Linked DNA regions of Callithrix jacchus. The protein of the gene in region 1 purifies or fractionates together with the protein of each later gene. This does not show direct contact. Links are inferred from orthologs where the notes say so. Each region holds a gene or a part of one and is shown in the gene's direction. Other genes may lie near its edges. The genes, in order: USP1 and PHLPP1.

Region 1 (14,677 bases):
ACATCTTCATATCTACCACAAGGGCATACAGATATCCAGCATATTCTCTTTTCAAGGAACCAAAAGGTGTACAGTACTTTTCCATTTTTCACCTTTTGGGGTATCTTCGCCTGCTGACGATTTTTTTTTTAACTTAGTACAGGGAAGCATAGCAGAGAATGCTATTTGTTCCCTAATATCCATTTTATTATTCTTCCTTAATATTATAACCCTTGATTTTTAGTTGGGTATATGGCCACCCAGAATAATGCTGTCATATGACTTAAGCTCTGGCCAATGAGCTATAAGTAGGAATGGTTTGTACAGCTTCCAGGAAGTACCTTTAAAGAGAGGGGACCATGATCATCTTTATCCTTTTTTCTTTCCTGCATAGGAGTGTAGACATGATAGCTGGAATCCAAACAACTATCTAGGACCAAAAAATAGAAGCCACATGTTGAGAATGGAAGAAATTAGGTCCCTGATGGTCATGGAATCACCATACTAATCTAGACTGCCTACTTCTGCTTTCTGTATACATGATAAATAAATAAATGTTAATTTTAGCTAAGGCCACTTAAAAATATTCTGTTACTCATAAACGAACCTATGCCTATTGGATGCAAAGTTTGGTTCCTATAAATTTGTGTTACACATAACCTTAAAAGAAATGTGGTGTTTGTTTAGTAGAAGCATTTGGGCAGTGGGTGGTAAAGACTCAGATACTGCAAGATGAAAAACTGGTGACCCTTGTTGTCCAGTTGCCAGACATTTGGTAAACCTGTTGCCAGCTTTAGAAGGCAGATCACATACCAATCTGTGGCATGAAGGGAATAGTGACGTCGGCGTTGCTGCCGAGCAGCGTGCTTGCATTGCTGGTGCATGAGGCGCGGCACGGGTCCTTCAGTCAAAGCCATTTATCCGTGTGCCGACGCTGTCTGCCAGCCTCCTCCCTCACCCGCCCTCCTTCCCCACATTCCTCCTCCTCCTCTCCTCCTCCTCCTGCTCCACCTCCTCTTCGTCGTTGTCGTCCTCCTCCTCCTCCAAGCTGCTAGCTGACAAATACAATTCTGAAGGAATCCAAATGTGACTTTGGAAATCGTCAGAGAAAACAACCTTAGAAAATGGCACAAAATCATTGTGCACCAGGAGAGAATGTGGGGGCGCAAACCCTTTTCCTCCCAAAGGGTTGTGGCATGAAGGGAAATGGTTGGAAAAGGAAGGAATCCAAATGTGACTTTGGAAATCGTCAGAGAAAACAACCTTAGAAAATGGCACAAAATCGTTGTGCACCAGGAGAGAATGTGGGGGCACAAACCCTTTTCCTCCCAAAGTTGTGGCATGAAGGGAAATGGTTGGAAATGGCGGAGACTAGCCTGGCCAACATAGTGAAACCAGTCTCTAATAAAAATACAAAAATTAGCTGGGTGTGGTGCATGGTGGCGTGCACCTGTAATCTCAGTTACTCAGGAGGCTAAGGCAGGAAAATTGCTTGAACCCAGGAGGCGGAGCTGCAGTGAGCCAAGATCATGCTATTGCACTACAGCCTGGGTGACAAAACAAGACTCGATTCCCAACACCTCCCCCTAAAAAACACCTCATAATTTGAAACTTTAAAGGGCGGGAAAAAAACCACACTTCTTCTTGCCTTCAGACTGAAGTACAGTTGGCCTTCCACATTCATGGGTTCCAAATACATGGATTCAACCAACCACAGATCAAAGAACCTTATGAAAAAAGGTACACAAAGTTCCAAAAAGCAAAACTGGAACTTGCCACATGCCAAGTGTTAAATACTATGTTAAATCCATGTGAATGAAGTGATGTGTAGACATTGTATTAGGTAATTGAGTAATCTAAAGATTATTTAAAATATATGCAGGATGTGCATAAGTTGTATGCAAATTTATGCCATTTTATATATGGGACTTGAGTATCCTTGGATTTTGATATCGACAAGGGTCCTGGAACCAATTCACCATAGATACCAAGGGATGACTGTACATAGAAACAGTGCCTGTGAAACTTAGGAAGGAAATATGCCTGGCATTTACCCATACAAGACTGACAAATATAGGATTAAGAATGCTGTGAACCTATTAAATCCCATTTTTCCAGTGGGATTAGCTGTCATTAAGAGTAGGGTAGCTGAGGAGTGCACAGAAACCAGGAAAAAAGTTTCTGGGCTTAAAAACTAAGCAAGAACTGTGGCTAGAATTTCTCCCACAAAGAACTGACTGAGAGCAAAAGGATGAGAAGGATATTAAATTTTCACATGAATTATATTGCCAGAGATACACCAAGCTTCTGCTATGGCTATTGACAAGCACAGGTGTGGAGGTGTTTGATTTTTCTGAAGCAGCATTAGCAGAAATCTGTGTCCAGCCACTTGTCCTGTGGGTATTGACAGGCAGGACCTAGGACATGCATGGCACTGGTGCAGATCATAGTGGATATAGTGAGGTTCTAGGGTCAGCAGTGCAAGCAGCTTTCTGATGGTGGAGGTTTCCGAGGCATTGCAGTAGCAATGTGATTCAGAGACATCATTTCCGGATCATAGAAGAGTCATTGCTGAAAAACTAATCTAGAGCCTATTTAATCAACCCTCCCAAGTATGCGATACCATTGAGTTTCTACTAGCTGAAATGGATTCTATTTTCTGCAACTGAATCTTAACTGATACCACATATTGAATACAGGAAGAATAGTGGCTGCAGACAATAGGATCTCAGGGATATGGGAAAATAGAATTGCTTATCCGTTCTGGTAGAGATTGAAAGTAGCAGTAATTCTGCTAGTACTAGAAAATGAGACACTGCCAGTCTGTGATACACAATGGCTAAGAAAGACTGACTTACATATTTTCTAATCTTGTCCTTGTGTATTTTGTTATATGCTGGCTCAACATCTGTATGTTAAATAAGCATCTCAATCTTAATATTCTAATGATGATCCCTCCCATTTAGCCCACTAAGACCCCCATTTTAGCAAGGACCAATAGTTATCTAAGTTGCTCAGATGAAACAAGACAAAACAAAATCATTGTTATCCTTGCTTTTTCTTTCTTTTTCTGGGGGGGGACATATGACAAGGTTTCGTATTCTCACCCAGGCCAGAGTGCAGTGGTGCATCTCACTTCACTGCAGCCAGAGATCCTCCCACCTCAGCCTCCCGAGTAGCTGGGACTACAGGCAAGTGCCACCACGCCCGGCCAATTTTTGGAGTTTTTTTCATAGAGATGGGTCTCACCGTGTTGTCCAGGCTGGTCTTGAACTCCTGGGTTCAAGTGATTCACCGACCTTGGCCGCCCATTGGATGCCCGGCCTGTGTTTTCTTACATTATCATACAGCCAATCTATTAGCAGAGCTCATTGGCTATACTCAAAATATAGCTTGAACGCTACCAGTTTTCAGCAACCCACCATCTTATTCCAAACTATCAAAATTTATTTCTTGGCTTATTTAACCAGAATTTTGGCTGATCTTTCTGTTTCTACTTTTTTTTGAGACAGAGTTTTGCTCTTGTTGCCCAGGCTGGAGTGCAGTGGCGTGATCTTGGCTCTCTGCAACCTCCACTTCCAGGTTCAAGTGATTCTCCAGCCTCAGCCTCCAGAGTACCTGGGACTACAGGCCTGTGCCACCACGCCTGGCTAATTTTGTAATTTTAGTAGGGACAGGGTTTTACCATGTTAATTAGGCTGGTCTTGAACTTCTGATTTCAGGTGATCTACCTGCCTCGGCCTCCCACAGTGTTGGAATTACAGGTGTGAGTCACCGCGCCTGGCCTTCTGCTTGTACTCTTGAAGGTCAACGTGTATCCTGCCATTCCCCAGCTCAGAATCATCCAACCACTCCCATCTCCTTACTCAGCTTACCCAGGGCCCTGCCAGTCTCATCCATGTCCCATCTTCTTATTCTTCTTTTTTTTTTAGTGATGGAGTCTTGCTCTGTCACCAAAGCTGGAGTGCAGTGGCACAATCTCGGCTTGCTGCAACCTCCGTCTCCCAGGCTCAAGCGATTCTTCTGCCTCAGCCTCCTGAGTGGCAGGGACTACAGGCGCATGCCACCACGCCTGGCTAATTTTTTGTATTTTTAGTAGAGACGGGGTTTCACCGTGTTAGCCAGGATGGTTTCGATCTCTTGACCTCGTGATCCACCTGCCTTAGCCTCCCAAAGTGCCAGGATTACAGGCATGAGCCACAGCGCCCGTTCTCCCATCTTTTCTTAAACTCACTGTGCTCTAAGCGCCCTGGCCTCGTTGCTCCTTTCCAAGACACCAAGCACATTAAGCTTCAGGACCTTTCTAACTTGCTGTTCTCTCTGCCTGCACCATTCTTCCCTCAGATTCCTCCAAGGCTCGCTCAGTTTTATTCAGCTCTGCTCAAATGTCAACTCAAAGAGATCTTTCCAGACTACTTATACGGATAAGTATCCATCACTTATCTTAGTGTCACTTGACTCCCTCTCCAGAATGTAGTGCTCCTTTATGGCAGGGAATGCATTTCATCCCTCAAGCCTTGAAAAATGCCTGGTACATAGTAGGCGTCTTAAAAATATTTGATTAAATGGATTTGGACTGAACATAACTTACTTAACGGCAGCACTCGCGTTGAGGTCACCTCACCAAAGCAAGCACACAAACACAAAACGAAGCACAAGCAGATGAGGCCTGCCTGCCGCTCCTGCACCCTTTGGGAGGGCCCGCGCGGGAACGCTGGGAAGCTCCTGTGGCCGGAGCTGGGCCTGAAACTGTTCTTTCGTTTCCTTCTGCGGCCGAGGAGGGGAAGGGTTAAACAGGCGCACCGAAATGGGAAAGGGGTAAATAAGAAAAAAATGAGGCGTGGAGGGGCTGAGGATGGGGCCTCAGCTCTACAGCATTCGCCTGAGAATGTACTGTTATCTGTGGCAGCACCTTGTCTCACTGGATGGCCCTAGGCCCACTGGGGCTGCGACTCAGAACCGAAAGCCTCAGCGTGGCGCCAGCGGCTACCCTGGCAGCCATTTTCGGAAGCTGCTATCCTAGTAACCCCGCCCGGGCGCGTACGCACGAACGGGAGGCGGGGCTTGCCGCGAGGGCCTCGCTCCGGAAGCCGCACCCTCCGCGGCGTCCCACCGTCGAAGATTAACAAAACGCCAAACAAGATTTTAACAGTCGGAAGCGAAAGCGCGCACTCGAGCGCCAATGAGAGCGGAAGGAGGGGCACCGCGCCTGAGGAACGCACCGTATGTCGAACAATGATTGGCTAGAGCCCTCCTTTCTTCTTTTTTTTCTATTAGCTGGGCTTGCTGTTCCCGCCCATCTAATTGGCTTTGGTCTAGGTACTTCTGATTGGCTTCCCCCGGGCGGTGGGGGGCGCGGTTTTGGGGACTATTCATCATGGATTGGTGAATTTGGGCTCCTTCTCGAGGCGGTGGCCCGTCGGTCTTTTCTCTGTCCCGTCTCCCGACCCGTACGCTTTCCCTTAACTCGCGCGCACGAATGGTTAAAAAAAGGGTGTGAGGCTCGAGCCCGCCAGCCAGGCCGCTAGCACTTCGCGCGCGCCCTCAGCGAGGACCCGCACGAGCTGCCCGGCTCTGTGCCTGCGCTGTTTGAAACTGCGGAACCGGTTAGGCTATTGGGGAACTACCGTCCCAGTTGGCTCCGGAGCCCGTGCGTGCCGGGGGTGAGTGGCCGTCGCGAGGCAGCTCCTGACTTTCGCGTCTCTGCAACGTGGAGACTAGAACCGGCAATTTCAAAGGACGCCACCTTCAATCGCAGCGCTGGCGCGGGCGGAGGCTAAAACACGGGGGTCCTGAGACTGAGGAAAACGCGCCAAGTTCCCCTCGGTGGTGGAGTGCGAAGGACCCTAGCGGTTCAGGCGCTCAGCGAGTGGGGCCGCTGCTTCTTGCGTTCCTGGCCGTCCCGGGGCGGGCGCGGATGGGCGCAGCTCCGGGGATGTAGTTCGTGCCGGTGCAAAGCGGGACCGAGCGGTGGCCCGGGTTCCCGCTCTTGGGAGCGGATGGTCACTCCCCCGCGGGGAGGGCGATCCGACCAGATTTTCCTGGGGCCGGGGATCCGGCGGGCTCGGGGCAGGGACTCACCTGTCGCACCCACACTCATTCGGGTTGGACTCGCCGGCGTCACCGCCGCGGAACTCGCTTTTGGCCATGACCAGGTAAGAAGGGCCTGGGAGGAGGGCCCGGCGCTCGGGCGCGGGGGCAAGTTCGGCCGGCGCCGGAGAGGTACTGCCAGGGAGACCCCGGGAGTGTGTTGGCCCTGCACCCTGACCAAGCTGCCAGCGGGAGCCGTGTGTGCCCCGGGCGGGGCGCCTGTCTTGCCGCCACCGGGACCCGAGAAGGCAGGTGCGGGCTGGGCGTAAATAGGCCAATTCCACGGCGAGGGCGCTCGGCGCGGGGGTGTGGGCCGAGGACGCCGCCGCCAGCCTCCCCCGGCCCGGTGGCCCGGTGGCCCGGTTGCTGCACGTCCTTCCAGTTTCTTTTCCGTTCCCGAGAGCGGTGAAGGATGGGGAGAAAGAAACGTTTCCACGCAGCTTGCACTGTGTCGGTAATTGCGAAATTTTACCGCGCATTTTCTTTCACTTACACTTTCACCAGAAGTATTTAGAACGCCACGTGTCTTAAACCTTGGCGAAGATATTGTCCTTGTTGTAGATTTTTCTCGAGAAATCGGAATCGAGTCGTGTCATAAAGGAAAGAAATTAAAACTGTTGGGACTGAGTGTTCACGCTGTCAACAGATAATGGTCGATTCGTTGTGCTTTCTGCGGAAGTTGAGTTAGTTACAGGAGAAATATTTTGGATGTAACAGTCCCCCAGTTATAAGGAAAGCTAGGAGCAAGAAATAATAGCGCGGAAGATACTGCATCTGGCAAAATGTTGCATTCTCGGTGTGAGCATTGCTTTGAGGGACCAGGAGTTTGTTTCGTTGATTAAGCTGACGATCCGCTATTTCACCCCCCTAATCATTCTTCTGTGAAGTCCGGTTACTCTGTCAGTTTGAGATCCAGTTTCTATCATCCATTAGAATGGGCTCTCGAGAAAAACCTTTTATCAGAATCATTAATGCTTGGCGATCCCTGAGAACTTAGCGCAGGTTGGTTTATCAGTCAGAAGACAGCGCTTCCTGAGAAGCATTGGATATGAACAGGAGAGTAAGTGGAGTTGGTGACAGAATGGGGAGATTGGTCACTTTACAGATCATCCTGACTTGGGTCTCAAAAATGATTTCAGTGCTGAGTTCAGTGTGAATTCCTAGATCGCTGTCAGCCAAGTGAAATGCCTATTAAGGATGGAATTTGAATGAGTTTTGTCTAGTTCATTTTATCACTCTGCATTTCAAATTTGAAAGTCGTTGCTGAGGTTTTGGGCTTTAAGTAATTTAATGACAATACTCCAGTCAGACAATTTTTCCTCATTTGTTCTACTGAAATATAGGACTGAAGTAGAAAATGTTAACTCCTACAAATGTTGCCATTATTTTTTCATGTGAAAGTTTTACTTTAAAACAGGGTAGGAAAGTTGCAAATGGCAAACAAGATCATCATTTTTCCTACTGAAAGCACTATTTTTAAAAACCAAAGTTTTTTTTTAAAAGTTTGGAAAACGAGTAGAATATTGTAGTTTCTAGTGCATTAAGAGTTTGATTTACGGGCCGGGCGAGGTAGCACACGCCTGTAATCCCAGCACTTTGGGAGGCCGAGGCGGGCGGATCATGAGGTCAGGAGTTGGAGACCAGCCTGGCCAACATGGTGAAGCCCCGTCTCTACTAAAAATGCAAAGAAATTAGTCGGACGTGATGGTGCACACCTGTAATCCCAGCTACTCAGGAGGCTGAGGCAGGAGAATCGATTGAACCCGGGAAGTGGAGGTTTCAGTGAGCCGAGAATTTGATTTACACAGAGTGCATCAAACAGTTTTTTATATCACTGTCTCAACTTTGCATATGTTTTATTATCTTTCACTTGGGTTTTTAGGTATAACTTAACACCATCCCTATGCCTTGAATGCAGATTATACTTTAATAAGCTTTTTAGATACTGATACCTTATTTTCATGTATTCATGTTAGTAACTAGAAAAGGCCTTGGAAAAGGGGACTCATCGTCCAGCACTATGATTTTCTGTTCATCCTTGTTTCCCACCTTGTACTTGGGAATTAGAGGTGGTAGTGCTCAGTCAGTATTTTCTGAATGCATTATTATAATGAAATACTAAGTTTTTACTAATACTACCTTACTGTAGGTCTATTAAATAGGATATTTTGTAATGCGACCCTTAATCCATAGCAGGCTGATTTAAAAAATTCAGTAGCTTTTATTTTTTGTTCTTTATGAATAGTGTGGCAAGCTCCTTCATTTAAACAATAAATATTGAGTGCTTATTGGCAGGCATGAGGTTTTCAAATATTAATTTCTAATGTATCATTCCCTTGGTAAATTTGTTTTCAAAATTGATGATTTTGTTACCTAAAACTGATACAAATTTTTCTCTGCGGTTAACAGATATAATTGGTGATTACAACTTTTCCCTATAAATTTGTTCTTGACAACTCCTTGGGATTTGAAGAAAAAAATGCCTGGTGTCATACCTAGTGAAAGTAATGGACTTTCAAGAGGTAGCCCATCAAAGAAAAACAGACTTTCTTTAAAGTTTTTTCAAAAGAAAGAAACTAAGAGAGCTTTGGATTTCACAAATTCTCAAGAAAATGAAGAAAAAGTTTCTGAATATAGAGCATCTGAAATGTATGTATCTTACATTTCTGTACTGTTAAAATTCTATGGTGAAGCAGCAGTGAACTTGATTGACAACTCCAGTCTGACTTTATAGAGGCAAAAAAAAGTACACCTAAGTGTACTTTTTAGTAAGTCTAGTAGTTTATAGTAGGAACAGCAAAACTGGTGGTTCCCATAGGGATCACATCCATAATGTTTAACTCATGAACACTGTGCTCAGGCATTTAGACTAACTTGGAGAAATATTTATTGACTAAAATTGTCTTTCTGAGTTTAAATTTGATTATTTGCAATGCAAAACATTTGTGTAGGGATAAAAGGTGATATATATTTGTTTGGTTCAGAAGACTTGGCAGTTTACATTTTAAACTTTGTAGTCATATATAATTAGTCATACCTGTTGGAGGCATACGATTGTAAATCATAAAAATAAACCTATAAATAAGTAATGCTTTTGATGCAAATAAATTCTTTAGCTACTGAAAATAAATCAGAACAAAGTAGAATACTTTATTTCATCAACAGCAGCTCTAGCTGGAGTCTGTACTCCTTTCCTGTTTAACAAATAAGCACTCTGCTGGGTGACTAAGGTGGATTTGGTCCCATGTGTTAATTTCCTAATAGCTACCAATAATCAGTTGAGATTGAGAGAGAACCTTTTGTTTATCAGCATTCATGCTTCTAAATACTTTAAGATGCTAGAGTAATGATAGCTAGCAATCGTAAAATAAATGAAAATACTGGGAGGACCTAGTGGGGTTTTTTTTTGATTGTTAAGGAAGTAAAAGAATAATAAACTTGAACTTTTTTTTTTGGAGACAGGGTCTCATTGTATTGCCCAGGCTGGTCTTGAACTCCTGGGCTCAAGCAGTCCTCCCAAGTAGCTGGGATTACATGTCAGTGCCACCACATCCACCTTCTGAACATTGTGAGGAATAGCTATATAATTTTTCTTTTTTTGGCCAGCAGGAAGTCATATATAATTCTCTTCATAGACTTTCTTTCCTCTGAATTCTGACTGATAGAATCTTACTTAGTGCAGCCTCTCCCAAATATTGTCATGGTTAGTTTATTCCCAGGTTTTTATTCAGTAAAACTACTTGATTAAAATGTCAAAGTAGGTGAAACAAATCACAGTCTTAGTTCCTCAATTTCCTACTCTGTAAAATAGGATTAACATCCTTCTGAGGGAATTGTTTTGAGGCTTGTTAAGTGTAATAATGTTTTTAAATACTTTTAAAACTTATTCTGGGCATGTAGCAGTTTTTGAGCCTGTATTTTTTAAAATGTCATGTGAACAAGGTTCACATACTTTTTAGATTATACAACTTTTGGGAAAAGACTAAATCTACGGAAGTAATATTTTCTCCTTGTTTAAGATGCTGCTTGATTATCCTTCTCCCTTCTATACTTAATAGTGATCAAGTTGTTCCTGCAGCACAGTCTTCACCTATAAACTGTGAGAAGAGAGAAAACTTGTTACCATTTGTGGGACTGAATAATCTCGGCAATACCTGTTATCTTAATAGTATACTTCAGGTAAATTGACAATTTTTCTATATAATAAAGCTTTAGTCGGCAAAGAATGATGTAACAATGTAACATTTAATGTTTCTGAGCTATTGAAGGACTTTAATGTTCATACTGTCTTTGCCTTTGATTGTAAATATAGTAGGCTAAAACAATATGTTGCATGTTATTAAACTTTGGGGTAAGAGAAAGTGATACACTAAATAAAGGTGGGATAATAAAATTGAGTAGACCTTGATAAAATGGAAGATGTCTCAAAGCTTTAATTTCTTTCTCTGATTCCTGGTGCTACAGTGATATGTATCTTATCCCTTGGAAATAATGTTGGCATTGTGTGTCCTTGTAACCTTAAAGTCTTAGCAATATCTGCCCAGGCTCAGTGCTTTGTGCCAATGAGGGAAGACACTGGGCTACTACTGATGGGGTGGAGAACAAATTTTGACACAAAGCTTAATCTCAGAATTTTAGGTAATACACATTAAAAGTGCGCTATAGAAAGCATGATATTGTTTTAATGATTTTATGTATCTTGTTGGTTCAGTAAACACTGACACAATCTCACTTTTTATAGGTATTATATTTTTGTCCTGGTTTTAAATCTGGAGTGAAGCACTTATTTAATATTATTTCAAGGAAGAAAGAAGCTCTAAAGGATGAAGCCAATCAAAAAGACAAGGTAGGAAAAATATATAAAAGAACAGAAAATAACATAAAATGCCCAAGTAAATGAATGGAAATTCATTTGCCTGGAAACGAAGAGGATTTTGAGGGGAGGATGACAAAGATTATTTCTCTGTTAATGAACTATTGTCAGAAACGCAGTTGTTTTTCATTCTTTCAACTTAGCTAACTAGATAATTCCCTTTTACTGAGTGTTTGCTCTAGTCCTCAAATCTGTTTATCATACTTTCCTCGTTTGTATACTATAATCACCATGTTATACCCATGTATAACCTATTTACCCATTGTGTTTTCAAATTGACTTTTTAAAAAATTTAAATACACTGTATTTAAAACCATTGTAATTCACATGAATAGTAATTAAAAATTCCTCTTAAAATTACAAAAAAGACCAGGCGTATTGGCTCACACCTGTAATCCCAGCACTTTGGGTGGCCAAGATGGGTGGATTGCTCAAGCGCAGGAGTTTAAGACCAGCCTGGGTAACATGGCAAGACCCTCTCTCTACCAAAAATGCAAAAACTAGCTCGGTGTGGTGGTGTGCCCCTGTAGTCTCAGAGGTGGGAGGATTGCTTGAGCCCAGGAGGTTGAGGCTGCAGTGAGCCTCGATCAAGCCATTGCACACTCCAGCCTGGGCAACAGAGACTCTGTCTCAAAATAAAAAAAAAATAAGGTTGATTTGTCTATCCCATAAAATTAGTGCTATAATGCAACTTAGAAAAGCTAGTAAAGTGAGACAAAGACAAATGAAGAAGGCACTTAATTTGTTCACAAATAAAATTATTGGTTTGTGTGTTTCTTTCTTGACAGGGAAATTGCAAAGAAGATTCTTTGGCAAGTTATGAATTGATATGCAGTTTACAGTCCTTAATCATTTCGGTTGAACAGCTCCAGGCTAGTTTCCTCTTAAATCCAGAGAAATACACTGATGAACTTGCCACTCAGCCACGGCGACTGCTTAACACACTCAGGTATAGCCTATGATATAATTTTAGGGTTTCAATTTAGCTACTTGTTTATATCCTTGGAGGAGAATGATATGTGAACAAACAGAAATAAAGGGCAAGGAAAGTAAGAAACTCTAGGTCCACAGTCCTTTATATCCCAGAGGCTCTGAATACTGGAATTTTTTTTCATAAATTTGGTGCTAAATTCGTTAGATCTGAATATATTAGGCTTTTTATAGTCATTATTCATATTTATCTCTAATGTGAATATTCATACATCCTTCTATAGAAATAGGATCATGTTTAATTATAGAGTACTACCATATCATGTTGGTGATAAATATTTTACTTATACGTCGTATTATCTTTGAATCTGAAAATGTCTGAATTTCTAAATGCATGGTCCTCAGATTAGGAGTTATAGAACTATATTCAAAATATGTGTAAGAACCGTAAGTTCCAAATAATGTATTTTTGTTAATATGTGATTAGAGGAGAACTATTGGATAACTGGATTAGATTGCTTTTTGTTATTTTCTTAAAAATGAAACTTTATATATATAAAATAGCCTTATTCAAATAAAGTTATACTAATAGGGCAAGTCTTTAAAACAATCACTTAAGCATTTAGTTTAGAAATAGAACTAGGTGCAGTGTATTGCTACACCTTAGTTAAGAGGTATTGTAGGCTGGGCATAGTGGCTCACACCTGTCCCAGCACTTTGGGAGGCTGAAGTGGGTGGGTCATTTGAGGTCAGGAGTTCGAGACCAGTCTGGCCAACATGGTGAAAACCCACCTCTACTAAAAATAGAAAAATTGGCTGGGCATGGTGGTTCACACCTAAAGTCCCAGCTTCTTGGGAGGCTGAGGCAGGAGAATTGTTTGAACCCAGGAGGTGGAAGTTGCGGTGAGCCAGATTGCAACACTACAGTCCAGCCTGGGAGACAGAGCAAGTCTCCTGTCTCCAAAATAAAAAAGTATTATAACATGGTAACCAAGAGTGGGGTTTGACTACTGGCTTTTCATCCTAACTAGTTCTGTGACCTTGGGCAAGTTATTTAACCGCTGTGTGCCTCAGTGGCTATATCTATCTGACAATAGTGGTGGTGTAATAGTCCCTTATAGGGTACTATTGCTATTATGAAGATAATGTATATGTAGGAGATAAAGCATTTTGACTAAGACCTTGTATATGGTAAGCACTGTTAGTTATTAATATGTTTAGAAGAGGATCAAGTATATTAAATACATTATAAAATATATAAATATATTAAATATATTAATATATTTGGAAGAGGTTCAAAGTATTATAATGAAAAACAGATAAAATTTACTCTTTTAGTTTCAGGTAAGAAATTTCAAATTAGTGCTGAATGAGATTTAAAAATTAAATAATTTACAATATTCCTTACATGAATTCATTCCTATGTAGAAATAGTTTTATGTACTATATCTTTAAAACTAGAATAGATGAAATGGAAATTTTTATTTATAGGGAACTCAACCCTATGTATGAAGGATATCTACAGCATGATGCACAGGAAGTATTACAGTGTATTTTGGGAAACATTCAAGAAACATGCCAACTCCTAAAAAAAGAAGAAGTAAAAAATGTGGCAGAATTATCTACTAAGGTAGAAGAAATACCTCATCAGAAAGAGGAAATGAGTGGTATTAACAGCATGGAGATGGACAGTATGAGGCATTCTGAAGACTTTAAAGAAAAACTCCCAAAAGGAAATGGGAAAAGAAAAAGCGACACAGAATTTGGTAGCATGAAGAAAAAAGTTAAAGTATCCAAGGAACACCAGTCATTGGAAGAGAACCAGAGACAAACTAGATCAAAAAGAAAAGCTACAAGTGATACATTAGAGATTCCTCCTAAAGTAATTCCCAAGTATATTTCCGAAAATGAGAGTGCAAGAGCTTCACAAAAGAAATCAAGAGTTAAAATTAATTGGTTAAAGTCTGCAAATAAGCAACCCAGCATTCTTTCTAAATTCTGTAGTCTGGGAAAAATAACAACAAACCAAGGAGCTAAAGGACAATCTAAAGAAAATGAATATGATCCTGAAGAGGACTTGGGGAAGTGTGAAAGTGATAACACAGCTAATGGACTTGAATCTCCAGAAAATACTGTTATACCTGTAAATGTTAATGAAGTTAAACCCATAAACAAAGGTTAGTATAATTCTTAGACTTTGATAGGTAGGAGCATTAACAGCTATAGAATTAGAATTTTCTCTTCTTAGATACATATATAATATAATCTATGCATAAAATTGTTTCAAGAGAAGGAAATTTAACACTGAATGTGAACTATGGTGTTCTAAGTGCTATGCTTAAATTAGTGTGTGTGTGTATATATATATAATGTCATGAAAGTAATTTTAACTTACAGTTTATAAAGTAGGGAAGTTCAGCTGGGCCACGGTAGCTCACACCTGTAATCCCAGCACTTTGGGAGGCTGAGGCAGGTGGATCACCTGAGGTCAGGAGTTCAAGACTAGCCTGGTCAACATGGCGAAACCCCATCTCTACTAAGAATACAAAAATTAGCCAGGCATGGTGCATGCCTGTAGTCCCAGCTACTCAGGAGGCTGAGGCAGGAGAATGAGGCCGAGGTTGCAGTGAGTCAAGATTGTGCCACTGCACGGTAGCCTGGGTGACAGAGCAAGACTCTGTCTCAAAATAAAAAAGTAGGGAAGTTCAGTATATCTTAACGTACATTTAAAAGTACATTTCCCTTTATGCAGTGTTTGATGTAAACTCATGAAGGACATTGTATTCAGTGAAATATTTAAAGTAG
Region 2 (14,940 bases), on another chromosome or scaffold:
CCTGTAATACCCCAGTTACTTAGAAGGCTGAGGCAGGAGAATTGCTTGAACCCAGGGGTGGAGGTTGCAGTGAGCTGAGATTGCACCACTGCACCCCAGCCTGGGAGACAGAGCGAGACTCTGTCTCAACAAAAGAAAAAAAAAAGTCTTTTTATGTCAAAATGATAGCATCTGAATGTAAAGGTCTCTACTTTGTGACTAATAAAAACATTTGTCAATATTCCAAATTAGATAGTTTTGCTTTGAGTCAGAATGAGAAATTTCTTTGTGCCAGAGGAGATTTTAGAGACAATGTGTAGTTCAATCCTTTATTACATAAATCAGTAAGAAAAAGTTCTTTAAGGTCAAATGTCTTCCTCATGTCATACTTAGCTAGGCAGTTTAGAGCCAGGACATCTGACTTCTAACCATGAACATTATAACACTTCCTCAAAATATTACATGGCACCACCTTTCAAACTATGGCATGTGTAGGAGACTAAGAAATGCTATCGTGCCATCAACACTGTCACTCTATCTGATTTATTAATTAATGCACCCACCTGAGCATGAGCCCCACTGCTTGATTTTTCTGGCATCTCAATTTTACAACAGAAATATGGGTAAGATCACATATATTATGAGGTGAGGAGGCAGTGGCCATATTTTGTAAAATTTTGATACATATGATAATAGATGGTTGTAAATTGCTAAATTCTTGAATTAAAATGTGTATTAAAATGTCCTTTTAAAAATAGTATTTTTTTTTTTTTTTGAGACGGAGTTTCGCTCTTGTTTACCCAGGCTGGAGTGCAATGGCGCAATCTCGGCTCACCGCAACCTCCGCCTCCTGGGTTCAAGTGATTCTCCTGTCTCAGCCTCCTGAGTAGCTGGGATAACAGGGGCCCACCACTATGCTGCCTACTTTTTGTAATTTTTAGTAGAGATGGGGTTTCACCATGTTGGTCAGGCTAGTCTTGAACTCCTGATCTCAGTTGATCCGCCTCCCACCTGAGATCAGGAGTTCAGGTGACCTTGGCCTTATAATGTGCTAGGATTATAGGTATGAGCCACTGCACCCAGCCATAATAGTGTTTTTTTTTTGAGACAGAGTTTTGCTCTTTAGCCCAGGCTGGAGTGCAGTGGCATGATCTCAGCTCACTGCAACCTTCGCCTCCCAGGTTCAAGTGATTCTCCTGCCTCAACTCACCAAGTAGCTGGGATTACAGACATGTACCACCATGCTTAGCTAAGTTTTGTATTTTTAGTAGAGATGGGGTTTCACCAGGTCAGCCAGGCTGGTCTCCTGGCCTCAAGTGATCTGCTTGCCTTGACCTCCCAAAGTGCCGGAATTATAGATGTGAGCCACTGCACCTGGCCCCTCCCCTTGCATTTAATGTCCAACTCCTTCAATAGGGAAACTTTACATTTTAGCCCCCTCACCCTGCACTAGTTGAAAAGGTGATTTTCCAGCCAGGCTCCCACTTCTTCATTCCCTGGCCACAGAATAAACCTTGCTCTGCTTGACGCTGACTTTCAGTTGTGTATTGGCTCTGCAGCAATGAAGGAGGAAAGACCCCATCTTTTAGGATCCTCAAGTTTATCAGTAACAAAAGAATATATTTTTGTTGTTTTGAGCCACCCATTTCATGGCGGATTTTTACAGCAGCCCCAGGAAACTAAGACACTTAGAAGCCCAGACCCACTAGATGTGGCAGGCAGTAGAGGGGAAAAGGACAAGACTTCTAGGGACTGATGAGTCTCCTATAATCTCTCTACAATGGGACAAAAAGAGAATATCCACACTGCTTCTTCGTGGTATAATTAATGAATATAAGTACTCGGGAATCATTATCTGCACAACTTTTCTCTTTTAAGTCATGGAAGAATAAGAAGAAATGCTTTGGAATGACGTAGGATAGATTTTTGTTAGATTGGAATCTTTTTAATTTTTTTTTATTATTTTTGAAATGGAGTCTTGCTTAGTCACCCAGGCTGGAGCGCAAAGGCATGATCTCAGCTCACTGCAACCTTTACCTCCCAGGTTCAAGAGATTCTCCTGCCTTAGCCTCTCGAATAGCTGGAATTACAAGTAAGCGCTATCATGCATGGCTAATTTTTGTATTTTTGTAGAGATAGGGTTTCGTCATCTTGGCTAGGCTGGTCTCAAACTCCTGACCTCAGGTGATCCACCTTCCTTGGCCTCCCAAAGTGCTGGGATTACAGGCATGAGCCACCATGCCTGGCCTAGATAGGAATCTTGATGCAAAACAGGTATTAGGTGGTTGTGTGAAGTTAGAATCCAAAATACATTTCTAAAAAGCTAGGAATAAATTAATTTTTAAGATTAATATACTTTAAATGTATTAATATTATAGGCGTACTTAATGTGTGACAAATTCATTCATAAGGGAAAGAATAAATGAGACTTTGAGAAGAAATATTTATACTCTAATATGTAATTTGTATATCTAGATTCTCATGTATCCCACTTGCCCAAAACAAGAATTATCTGTATAATGGAAGAGAATAGGTTGATTTTAACTGAAGATTTTTTTTTTTTTTAAATGCCAATCCCTGTAAATAGGCTTCATTAGATCAGGTATTTTTGTCTATACTATTTACTTAGGATGAATGATACCTAAACTTAAAGTTCAATAAGTAGATGGGTGCAGTGGCTCACACCTGTAATCTCAACACTTTGGGAGGCCGAGACGAGTTGATCACCTAGGTCAGGAGTTCGAGACCAGCCTGACCTACATGGTGAAACCCCATCTCTACTAAAAGAAATAGAAAAATTAGCCAGGCATGGTGGCAGGCACCTATAATCAGCTACTCTGGAGGCTGAGGCAGGAAAATCACTTAAACACGGGAGGCGGAGGCTGCAGTGAGCCGAAATTGTACCACTGCATTCCAGCCTCAAAAAAAAAAAAAAGTGAGAATCTGTCTCAAAAAAAAAAAAAAGTTCAATAAGTACTTGCTGAATGAATGTCCCAGATAATTTACATTGTTAGAGTATCAGGGTGGGTTTATGTGGCCTGTATTTCTGGTCTCAACTTCATTGTTGCCATGTATGGAACATCTGTTTATTTTGGTGAGACAGGATGTGAGAAATAAGAACAAGACAAAGAATTACGGGATTAAAAAGAGTGCACTAAAATCTGAAAAGCTATCAAGCCATATTGTAAAACAGACTACCTAAAATGATAGTAGCAATCCAACCTCTTGATAGAATTCAAATTGTAAATTTCATGAGGGAGGGGTAAGACATTAGAGAGACCATAAGGTCTCATCCTGCCAGTGAACAGGGAACATATTAATTCAGTTTGGCCACCTGGGGCCCATTTAGTGCACTAGAGCAGTAATTTGCTAAATGGGTCCCTCATAGTAAAAAAGAATGAGTAAACAGTGAACAATTTAGGCATGGTAAACCACTAGTAGCTCAAGGGATATAAAAATGTGAAACTATAATTAGATCCCTTGTTCATAATGTAGGAACTAAATGTATTACATTGTATATTGCATCTTTCTGAGTTTATTTCTGGACACAGCTGAGCCCTTAACAACTCAGACTGAAATCATCCCAGCTATCAATTTATGCCTCCATTAAAATTCCAACAGCTTATATTAGAAAAGAAACATCCAAAGATGACTTCCTTTATCTTAGATCTAAGGATGCAAACAGAATTAACCTAGATGCAGAACACAACAAGTCAGTTATAAATTACATAGCATAAAGTAAACTGTGGCAATAAATTGGAAATTACGTTCTCCTTTTCTAGACTTAGCTGTGAAAATATAACAAGTTGGCATCAGGATTTACAACTTTTTCATCTGATGTTTCTTTTCAGGGTTATCTTTTAGCATTTTAAAATGGGATTCTTTGAAAAGTGTGGTTAGTAAGAAATGTGGTATTAGAACATACATTTGGAACACTTTAAAGGGGGGGTATTCATGACATATGTTGTTTTAGGATACTGGTGTATTCCCCACTCCACTTTTAAGTAGGAGAAGCTGCTATTTCATGGGTATCTGGAACACATTTGTCTTCTATTGAAATCTTTTTCTTATTTGGAGACATTTTACAGTGTGCATTGGCACAGATGGTCTGGGTGATGTTTCATGATACTAGCAAGCTCTAAGTAGAAGTTTCATTGCCCTTTATCAATTTGTTCTTTCAACTACCAGGCTCCAGTTGATCTGGTGGTAAGGGATTGTTTATTCTTCAGGAGCTCTCGTTTTCTTTCTGTCTCTTCTCTTACCCCAAGCTTAGTAACATCATTGGAGGCTTGGGGTAGAACAAGGGAAGGATTACACTGTGGACCCTGGCCCATTTGCTCTCCTCTTAGCTCTGCTTTTTATTATTCTGCATACAATGGAATATGTCATCTTTCAGATTATCGACTCTATGCATGAAATCCAGGAAAACCTTATTTTAGATCCCCACCCCTGCAAACACTGCTTTTATGAGGTAGGAATGCATTTCCTTCTTCTTTATGCTGAGATACTGTAACATCTCATTGATGAACATCCTGTTCATTGCCTGCCTCCTCCCACCACAACTTAGTATTAGGTATCCCTGGTACCAAGTCCCTATCTACCGGAGTGTGTGATGGCTCTCCAGTACCCTTTTCCCCAATATTTGGATACTAAATTCTTTGAGCAATGTCTTTTTTTTTTCCAGACAAGAGTTTTGCTCTTGTTGCCTAGTCTGGAGGAGCGCAGCGGCACGATCTTGGCTCACTGAAGCCTCCGCCAACTGGGTTCAAGCGATTCTCCTGTCCTAGCCTCTTGAGTAGCTGGGATTACAGGTGCCTGCCACCATGCCCGGCTAATTTTTTGTATTTTCAGTAGGGATGGGGTTTCACCACGTTGGCCAGGCTGGTCTCAAACTCCTTGGCCACCTGCCTTGGCCTCCCAAAGTGCTGGGATTACAGGCATGACCGACCCACTGTGCCCTCTCAGAACAATGTTTTTTGTACAATTTTTTTTCCCCTTGAAGGAGGTGTTTTAGTTATAAATACCTTCAAAGAGTAAATAAAACTCCTAGAGAATAAAAAGGCAGAGCCGTGGTGATTGTGTAATGTTACCTGATAGGAACCATAGGTGGATTAAATACTGTATTGTAATTTCTTGGAGAAAGGGCAATGGTGCGGAATTTATGATGAGAAGAAACATTCTGGGTTGGATGTGGTGGCTCATGTGTGTAATCCTAGCCCGTTGGAAGGCTGAGACAGGCAGATCACTTGAGGTCACGAGTTTCAGACCAGCCTGGGCAATATGGCGAAACCCAGTACCTACAAAAAAAAATTAAAAAGTAGCTGGGCATGGTGGTATGCCAATAGTCCCAGCTACTCAGGAGGCTGAGGCAGGAAAATCGCTTGAACCCCGGAGGCAGAAGTTGCAGTGGGCTGAGATCACACCATTGCACTCCAGACTGGGCAACAAGAGCAAAACTTTGTCTCAAAACAAACAAACAAACAAACAAACAAACAAACAAACAAACAAACAAACAGGCTGGACGCGGTGGTTCCCATCTGTAATCCCAGCACTTTTGGAGGCAGAGGCAGGTGGATCACCTGAGGTCAGGAGTTTGAGACTAGCCTGGCCAACATGGCAAAACCCTGTCTCTACTAAAAATACAAAAATTAGCCAGGCGTGGTGGTAGGTGCCTGTAATCCCAGCTAATCAGGAGGCTCGGGCAGGAGAATTGCTTGAACCCGGGAGTTAGAGCCCCACTGCACTCCGGCCTGGTGACAGAGTGAGACTCCGTCTCAAATAAATAAATAAAGCAGATAAATAAATAAATAAATATAAAGGGGTTTGTAGGAAATCAGCTAAGGAATATAAACAGGTATACAAACTCCATGTTTTAGTACTGAAACTTAACATGGGCTTTGTTCTTTTAATCTTATTAAAGGATGCCTAAATTTAAAGACCACTCTTTGAATTTCTAGAACAAATAGTTTGTGTTGGGGCTACTGAAGGCACAATATAGATCAGTGTAATTGAAATATGTCTTCAATATATTCGCTTCCTCTTTGCTTCCTTTCTTTCAGAGACTGATCCTTCAACAAATGCACATTTTCATTGACACGAAAAAATTTCATTCAGAGTTTGGTCTCTATTGCCTGACTTCCTAGAGTAGGTTAGTTTCCTTGTTTTATGTCCGTTTCCAATGGTATTTCCCCCTTCTCTACTTCAATCTCACTTTTTGAATGTTGTTCTTTCTAAACTATAAACTCTATGAAGGCAGGGACAGTGTCTGATTTGTTCAACTGTTGTAACACAGTGACTGGTACATAATACCTGTTTGTAATTATTTGTTAAATTAATTGATTTGAATATGTTATCACTCTTGGGAGAACTTGCAATCTCCCCAATTTTTAATGTTGCTGTTGATTGAATTTAAATAAAATATATATTATAAATAGCTTCATGAGGTCAAAAGGTAAACTGTTAAATGAAAACATAGAAAATGATCAGGAATGTAAAAAATCATTGAGAAATACTTATTTTTATCTCCATGGCTTCTTCTATTCTTGTTTAATGAAACTGTGATAACCCAAGCGTGCCTTTCCTTGCTGTAAGCTCCAGTTGGTCTCTCTCCAACCCCCTTAACTCTTCATCTCCAAGTTTAGTAACTTAATTGATGTTAAAGCAGTTCCTGGATAGGATGTAGTTTAAAATGTTCTTAGGTGAAAATCCAGATTTAGGGCCTGGCCTGGCGCGGTGGCTCATGCCTGTAATCTCAGCACTTTGGGAGGCTGAGGTGGGCAGATCGCTTGAAACCAGCCGTAGCAGCATGAAGGGACTCTCCATCCCCCACTACAAAACAATATAACAAATGAGCTGGGCCTGGCGGCACACCCTGTAGTCCCAGCTACTCCAAGGATGAGGTGGGAAAATCACCTGGGCTCCAGAGGCGGAGGTTGCAGTGAGCCCAGGCCACGCTACAGTACTCCAGCCTGGGCAACAGACCAACTCTGTGGCAAACAAAACAAAACAAAACAAAACCCGAATTATAAAGCAACTGTGGAGGATGGTAATTCAATTAAAAAGATGTACTAAATTATTTTAAATAGTAAACTGCCCTAGTCCAGCCTACAACTTTGATTCAACTGACCAAAAATACAACTTTTCAGACTATGACTAAACATTGTAGCGATAGAAAATACTTTCTTCCTAAATGATGACAGAAAAAAGCCAGAGAAGACGTTAAGAGAGAATACATGGAAAAAGCCCATCTCATACCTCACCATGTCTCCATTCTAATGTTTCTTCTACTTTCCAGTGCTTTCCGTATCATTAAACTACTTCAGAATTCAAGATCAATGAGAGCTCAGTCCTTTGTCATTTTCCTTTTCAGATACAGGATAGGGAGAGGACAGGCTTAAGGTTGTGCCTTCCACCAAGGTCATTCAACGACAGTCTCACTTAGAATTCCCAGACACCGCCTGTCTTCCTGGGTCTTGAAAAAGTGGGAAGAAAGTGAGGTTGGACCACTCGCCGCCAGTGATCCTGTGGTGTGGCGGGTGAGTATCTCTTATCTCATACAATGGGCGGAGGTGAGGAGCAGGACCCGGGTCCTTCGTACTGTTTAGAGTCTCTGAAAGCCCTCATCTTTAATTGGCACGGAAAAGAAAAGTCATCTGACGAGCTTGAGTGCGGGTAAAGTACAAGTTAATAAACAAGAGCTTTCGCGTTCATTAAGAACTCTGGCAGAGTTCAACGGCAGAGGGCACAATACTCACTGGCCATGGCCAGCTGCAGGCGGGCAGGCGGGCCGGCGGGGCAGAAGCTAAGGAACGCTGGGACTTGTAGTCCGTCATGTTTCCCTAGAGATTGCCGATACCCGGACGAGAACCACAACCCCCAAGGTGCACTGCGCGTCTGTCTTCACCGCCCTCTCCGAGGCAGGCTCAGGAACCTCCCGGGAAACTGCCCCCCCCGCCCCGCCCTGGTACGCACGCGTCACGTTTGTTTACCCTGAAGCTCCGCCTCCGGCCATCCCCCGGCTCTCCCCACTCCTCCCTGGAATGCCGTCATGCGGCGATGAATATTCATTAGGCACACGCGGCCCTCCCGCCCTGCCAGCCTCCCGCCTCCCCGCCTGCCGGCGCGTGATTAATATTCAATGAGCCCAGCTCCGCGGCTGGTTCGCTGGGGTGAGGCCCGGGGAGCGGGCGGGGCCCGCGCTGGGGAGCCCGCGACCGGGGCGGGGAGGGCGTGTGTTGGGGGGGCGGTGGCGGCGAGGCGGGCGCGCGGGATGGAACACGGAGACACCGACGGAATGCTCCGAATCGCCACATAATCCCCTGGAACGGCCGAGCCGAACGCCATTGGCTTTCTCCTCCTCCGCGCGCCGCCGCTGTCTCCCACCTCCGCCTCATCGCCTCCCTCTCCGCCCGCTGCCTCCGGAGCTGGGGGGGAAACGCGAAGCCCCACTGCAATGGAGCCCGCCGCCGCGGCCACGGCGCAGCGACTCCCCGAGCCCGGCAGGGAGGACCGAGCTTCGGCTCCGGCAGCCGCCGCTGCGGCAGCGGCGGCGGCGGCGGCGGCAGCGGCAGCGGCCGCGGCGGCTTTGGCGGCGGCGGCCGGGGGCGGCCGGAGTCCGGAGCCCGCGCTGACCCCGGGGACCCCGAGCGGCGGGAACGGCGGCGGCGGGGCGCGGGAAGAGGCCCCGGGCGAGGCGCCGCTGGGGCCGCTGCCGGGCAGAGCAGGGGGCACCGGGCGCAGAAGGCGGCGCGGGGCGCCCCTGCCCAACGCCGGCGGAGCTGCCCCCGTGCCCGGGGCCGGCGGCGGCACCAACTCCCTCCTGCTGAGGAGAGGGCGGCTGAAGAGGAATCTGTCGGCTGCAGCTGCGGCCGCCTCGTCGTCGTCGTCCTTGGCCGCTGCTGCCTCGCACTCCCCCGGCGCCGCCGGCCTCCCCGCCTCCTGCTCGGCCTCGGCGTCGCTGTGCACCCGGAGCCTGGACAGGAAGACGCTGCTCCTGAAGCACCGGCAGACGCTGCAGCTGCAGCCGTCGGACCGGGACTGGGTGAGGCACCAGCTCCAGCGCGGCTGCGTGCACGTCTTCGACCGCCACATGGCCTCGACCTACCAGCGCCCGGTGCTCTGCACGCTGGACACTACGGCCGGCGAGGTGGCCGCCCGCCTGCTGCAGCTGGGCCACAAAGGCGGCGGCGTCGTGAAGGTGCTGGGCCAGGGGCCCGGAGCCGCTGCCGCCCGGGAGGCCGCCGAGCCGCCCCTGGAGGCCGGCCCCCGACTCGCGCCCCCGGAGCCGCCAGACTCCGAGGCGCCGCCCGCGAGGAGCGCGCCGGGTGCCGTCGGGGGTCCTCCGAGCGCGCCCCCCGCCGACCTGCCCCTACCCTCTGGCGGCCCCGGCGGGTGGACGCTCCGCGCCAGTCCCGCGCCCTCGGACTTAAGCCCCGGCGAGCCATTCGCGGGGGGCCCTGCCTCTCCGCCCCACGCCCGGCGACCTGTGGCCTCCGACACCGAGAGCTTCAGCCTGAGTCCCAGCGCCGAGAGCGTGTCTGACCGGCTGGACCCCTACAGCAGCGGCGGCGGCTCCTCGTCGTCGTCGGAAGAGCTAGAGGCCGACCCGGCCTCGGCCCCGATGGGGGTCCCGGGCCCGCCCCGGCGTCCCGGCCGCCCCGCGCAGCCCCGGCCGCCTTCCCAGACGGCGTCTTTGCCTCCGCTGCAGCAGAAAGCCCCGAGGGCCGTCGACAGCCCGGGCGGAGCCGCCCGCGAGGGGCTGTGCAGGGAGAAAACGGCGACAGTCGCGGCCCCGGGAGGCCCCCAGTCGACCCCCAGGAGGAGCGGGGCGATCGCGGAGAAAGTGCCTCCGCCGCCCACCCTGTACGTGCAGCTCCACGGAGAGACCACCCGGCGCCTGGAGGCGGAGGAGAAGCCATTGCAGATCCAAAATGACTACCTCTTCCAGCTGGGGTTTGGGGAGCTGTGGAGGGTGCAGGAGGAAGGCATGGACTCGGAGATTGGCTGCCTCATTCGCTTCTATGCAGGTAAGGAAGGCACCTACCTTGACGGGTGGGTGCAAACGCTGCCGAGGACCGAGGAGTGATTCAAATGGTTTGTCAGTTTGCCCAACCCAGGAGTCAGTTCGGGTCCTGGTGAGTCTTTGTCTTAAACTTTACAGCTTTTTCATACAGTCTGTGTAGTACTAAACTGAGCAATCTGTAAATCTGCGCGTTTTATCAATCTTGAGGCCCCAGAGGTTGGAAAGCAATGTGGAGGAGGTGGTTGAATCATCAGGAAGCACAGGAAGCAGATCCCCCTGAAAGCGGCAAGAGCACGTTTAACCATAAAGGTGCTTCCTCAGGGACTTGTTGGGTTTCAGGCTGTTTGGGGTTTCAGGTAAACGGTCACGTGAGCGAGCATAAGACGGACGGAAGAAATGACAGCAGAAATGCTCTAGAACACTCTTGCTTGCATTTCACTGTCCAGTTGAGTGTTCTAGCTGTGTGTGCCACCGGGAGCTCCTGACTTGTCAACTGGTGCCTTTGTTTATTCAGCTCTGCCACACTCATAAATTCCCCATTAGAAATCTGACAAAAGGGTCCTTTTTTTCACTGATACTTTTCCCCAGCGCTTTTTTGCTCGATTTCTGTTTTGTCTGCAAGTTTGTCTTGCGTAAAAAATGATTTTTCTTGTTTCTTCTTGAATTTCTTCCATCCTTTATGGTCAGAACTGACCACTGCTGTAGGACTTGCAGGAGGGTTTACAAGAAGGATTTAGGTGGTTACTGTTTCTTCAGATATGATCTAAAATCTTCCCCTTCTTTTTTCAGTACATTATCAAATTCTTGACTGGGGTGACCCACGTAATGTTTCTCTTTTGGCTAAAGACTTGGCTAGTACTAAATTCAGGAGCTATATTATAGGTCCTGGATATTGTACTTGAGTTTGATAAATAGTTTGCATCCTTTTCTTCCTCTGGTTTGAGTAACTATGTTCTCAGTGATAAGGAATTTTATTTTAAATAAAGTTAGCATAGCAAAATTAAGTCAGGAGTGTTAAATCTTCGTCACCTTTAGGTTTTTAGGTTGTAGGTGATGGTGGAAGAATAATCATACTTGTAATTCCATTAATTTGTAGTTATTCTTTACGATTTAATGTCTTTCGGTCCAGCTTGTGCCCCAGTGGCAGTTTAGTTAGTTTGCAAGAAGAAATCTTTACATCTTTACTCCCACACTGAAATCCGCAAGACTGACAGCATTTCTAGTGAGATGCCCTTTTAAATTCCTTGGAAGTTTTTCTGAAATTCTTAAGTGAATTTCTGATGAATCTTTTCCTTGTAAAGAAAACCAAATAATAATACAGTAGCATTTGTAGTATCTGAGGACAGTTTGTCAACTGGATGACATGCCTTTTAAAGTTTATGGCCCAGGAAATAGATGATTTTTTGTGTAAGATCAACAGCTGTATCTTTTTCTCCTGTAATTCATGTAATTTGTAAAATGTTGTTATTTTACAAAAGCATTAAAAATAGGCGCCCTTATACCTACATGGAAGAAAACGTATATAAAACAAGGGATATATGAAATAGAGTTTGAACACATTTTATATGGATATAGTGTGTTATCCCTTGTTTTGCTCATGATTGATATGTCCATTGTGATAAATGTCCATTCGATTCTCTTCCAGAGTGTCCCAGATATTCTAGTGGGTAATAAGAACTTGTTTTTTCCTCAAAACTCATCTTAATATTAAAATGACAAGTCTTTCCCAGTTAAATGTTTGGCATGATCTTTTAATCTTGTTTTGTTCTCTATGAAAAGCAGTAATTGTTACCGCATTCCGCACTTACTGCCTTATTTCTATATGCACAGCCATAAATGCATTCATGCCACTGAGTATGAATCCCCACTGCTTACAAAAGTGGGGATGACACACACAGTTTCCACTCTATTCTTGAATTTAAAGCAGTGTACAGGTGTCCTAGAAGAAAGATGCCTGATTGTTACAAAGTTATCTAACTGCTGGTTTTTTAAGCAAAGTTGAGATTATTTTAAGCCTAGGTTAATATGCCACACATCTTTGCTGTTATTCGTTTGCCATAGAACAAAATTTAGTATGGTGAATCCACTTGAATTTGTGCAAAGAAGTTCAGTTATTGATGAATGAAGTGTAATCTCACTTATGGAAGCATTGTCAGGGCTTCACATATAGTGAAGGTTTGCACCAGACTGGGAGTAATTCCTAGAAATTCCGTGTTCCAACAGAATGTAGGACACCTCAACAGGAGAGAGTTACATTTTGGTAGAAGTGTTTTTTTTTTTTTCTTTTTCTGTAGGAAGAGGATAATTAATGTTTGTTTTAGATGACACCTTTTACAGGGTTTTTTGAAAATTCTGTACCCCATTTGGTAATTTTATATATAACTTATTTTTAAATTTATTGCTGCATGTTGTTTGTTTATGTATAGTTGGGGTTCAGGATAGCTAGGAAGTTGCTTTCAAATTCTTTTGAATATTTATCTTTATTTAAATTGAACTTACCTATTGTCTTAAGGGTCTACTCTCTTGAAAATTACCTTTCTATTAAATTTTAGTGTTTGTAAGCTGACTAGGGTTGTTCTTTAGAGGCTTTGAAACCCATTTGTGGTTGCTTTGAATATTTAAATATTTATTTGGGTAAAGTAAAATGAAAGTCTTTAATGAACAAAAAGGCCTTGGGTAAAGGTACTATCTAATTACAGAGTTGTTAACGAAAACTTGGTTTGAAAATTGTTATAGCATCTACCAGGCCACCATTCTCTTAGCTCACTTAAGATATGAGAAAATTTAATGAGCTTTATCTGAAGTTACTTAAGTATTTAACATCCTTGTAAAATCAGACATCTTAAATTTTGCCTGAAAGAGAGTAATTATAGGTTAAAAAAATTCAAGAACTTAGGTTGCCTGACATAAGTTGTGGACTCCTAAATGTGAATGAGCTTTTGTTTTCGACTCTCTGGGGAGCCTTTGTCATTCATGTAGGGCAGCATTAAACTGTATCTTTTTATATTTTTTTGACTCTTTTTTCCCACCACTTAGAGCTGAGAGGTCTAGCAATTTCAGTTTGAATTTTAGCAATGACAAAGGGTGTTGACAGAATACAGTGCACACTCACTGTACCTGGTGAATCTTGGACAAGGTATTTTTATGTGTGACTCCTTGGGATTTCTCTGGAACAATCTCTTTATCCCTCTCATATTCCCTTTTTTTTTTCTCTTCTGGGAATGATCAAACCTTAACGTGGTTTCCTACATGCAAACCAAGAGGGGAAGTTCAGCATTAAGCTATAATATTGACGAGTAGGTTCTTACTACTATAATTACAGCAGCATTGAGTAACACGGTTTGAACATGTGACACCAGTGTGTGCTTGAACAGTCCCTTTAATTTTCAGTACAGAGGGTTTGTTTACATTTTAAAACATACTTTAATTTTAATGTTTCTATTTATTTGTTTTTGTTGTAAAGTACATGCCATCCTTCACAACTGTGATTTGATAACGTCTGTAATACATTGGATTTTATCATCTTCAAACATCTTAAAGGGTTTCCACATAAATTATTTCATATACTGTTTCAAAAACAGTGTTAAGGAGGAGTCAGTGACACTGTTCTTTTCAGACTGAGAAACCGATGCACAGAGAGATCTGACCCTTCCTTGCTTGTGGTTTTTCCATCCTCGGCAGGATGGAGAATAGAGAGCTTGGGTATTCTATTTTGCAATTCATATCACTTTCCATGAATTGATGCTAAATTAAATTTACACTTGAATTTTTTCACTTGGTTAAAAGCATTCTGAAAATATGCTGTTTTTGTTGGTTATGAGGTGACATACTCTAGTTCAAAGTGGTATTTCTTGTGAAATGTGGATCATTCTGTTTATCATGCTGCCTTAAAAAATATAGAGAACCAAGACGAGAAATAAGTAGACAGTATGGAAAGAGAAGTAAAGTGTTCTAAATATTCTGGTTGCAAATAGTCATGCTTGCATTTAAGTTGATATGAAGTAAAGTTTACCTAATAGTTCTTTATTCTCTTATTCATTGGGAAGTAAATCTTCATTGGGAAGTAGAGAGTTAACACTTTGCCTGAAAAGTGGATGACTTTTGTATGTATTGTGTTTGAGGGGAGTGTATGTATTGTGTGTGTGTGCATGACAGTTCAGGTTCTTTAAAATATAGCTTTTAAAGTAACTGAGAATATCTGTCATTAAATATCTTTTTTACCTAAACCTATTATTAAAAAATGGAATTGTCTTTTAATGATCCTTTCTTGGTGTTACTATGCTCTTGTGTAATTTTCATAATTCATATGTTATTTAGTGCTGGAGAGTAAGTTCTTCTCCCTGAATTTCAGTTATTTCTAAATAACTAAAATTTTATATGCATTGAAATAATGTAGGGGCAGGAGAAGAGTGTAAATGAGTTTGTGTAAAGTTTTAGGTTGAAAGTTTTATTTTTTGGTTGCTACAAGATTGTCAAATCACCCACCTTAAATGATTGATATATACAAAGACGGTTTTTTTTTAAGTGTAAAATGTTTTTCTTGTTTCTCATTCTTTTCTTAGAATCCTGAATTTAGCTTTTCATTGACTGGTAACACAACATTCACTGACACTGTATGTGATCGAAGCCTAGTGTAATATTTAATGTTTTAGTTTAACATTTGTTGAATTGAATTTTTGGAATTTTGTTAAGCAGCTGATGGTGTGTGCCCTGATTCTTTCTTTAGCTTTCATCCTGTTTGAGTCCCCAGGGATGTGTTAAACACACATATACACACAGTGGCATTTCTCCCATGGCAATAGATTTTAGATGTGCCACATACTATTAATATCTTCGATTTCATGTGAGTGAACTCTGGATTTTGAGAGAAGAGCTCTCTCTCAAAGTTTTCTTTGATTTAACAGGTTTTCCCCCCAGTTTTCAAAGACATCTCGTACCTT

What was found.
Region 2: the proteins of USP1 (region 1) and PHLPP1 purify together in Homo sapiens (affinity purification with mass spectrometry; 6 studies listed by BioGRID and IntAct, counting the BioPlex papers as one, with this or other methods). This does not show direct contact. The link is inferred for Callithrix jacchus from reciprocal best matches to the Homo sapiens genes USP1 and PHLPP1.

The regions. Positions count from the first base shown.
Region 1 is NC_133508.1:99,525,865-99,540,541, forward strand, and holds the start of USP1 (ubiquitin carboxyl-terminal hydrolase 1), read left to right. Parts: upstream 1-5,038; 5' UTR 5,039-5,298; intron 5,299-5,762; exon of another isoform or gene 5,763-6,134; intron 6,135-8,478; 5' UTR 8,479-8,548; coding exon 8,549-8,718; intron 8,719-10,127; coding exon 10,128-10,248; intron 10,249-10,810; coding exon 10,811-10,915; intron 10,916-11,730; coding exon 11,731-11,891; intron 11,892-13,363; coding exon 13,364-14,049; intron 14,050-14,677. UniProt on the Homo sapiens protein: Negative regulator of DNA damage repair which specifically deubiquitinates monoubiquitinated FANCD2. Also involved in PCNA-mediated translesion synthesis (TLS) by deubiquitinating monoubiquitinated PCNA.
Region 2 is NC_133514.1:105,677,510-105,692,449, forward strand, and holds the start of PHLPP1 (PH domain leucine-rich repeat-containing protein phosphatase 1), read left to right. Parts: upstream 1-8,431; coding exon 8,432-10,004; intron 10,005-14,940. Other genes in the region: uncharacterized protein LOC118146920, read right to left, coding at 8,046-8,561, 8,611-9,069. UniProt on the Homo sapiens protein: Protein phosphatase involved in regulation of Akt and PKC signaling.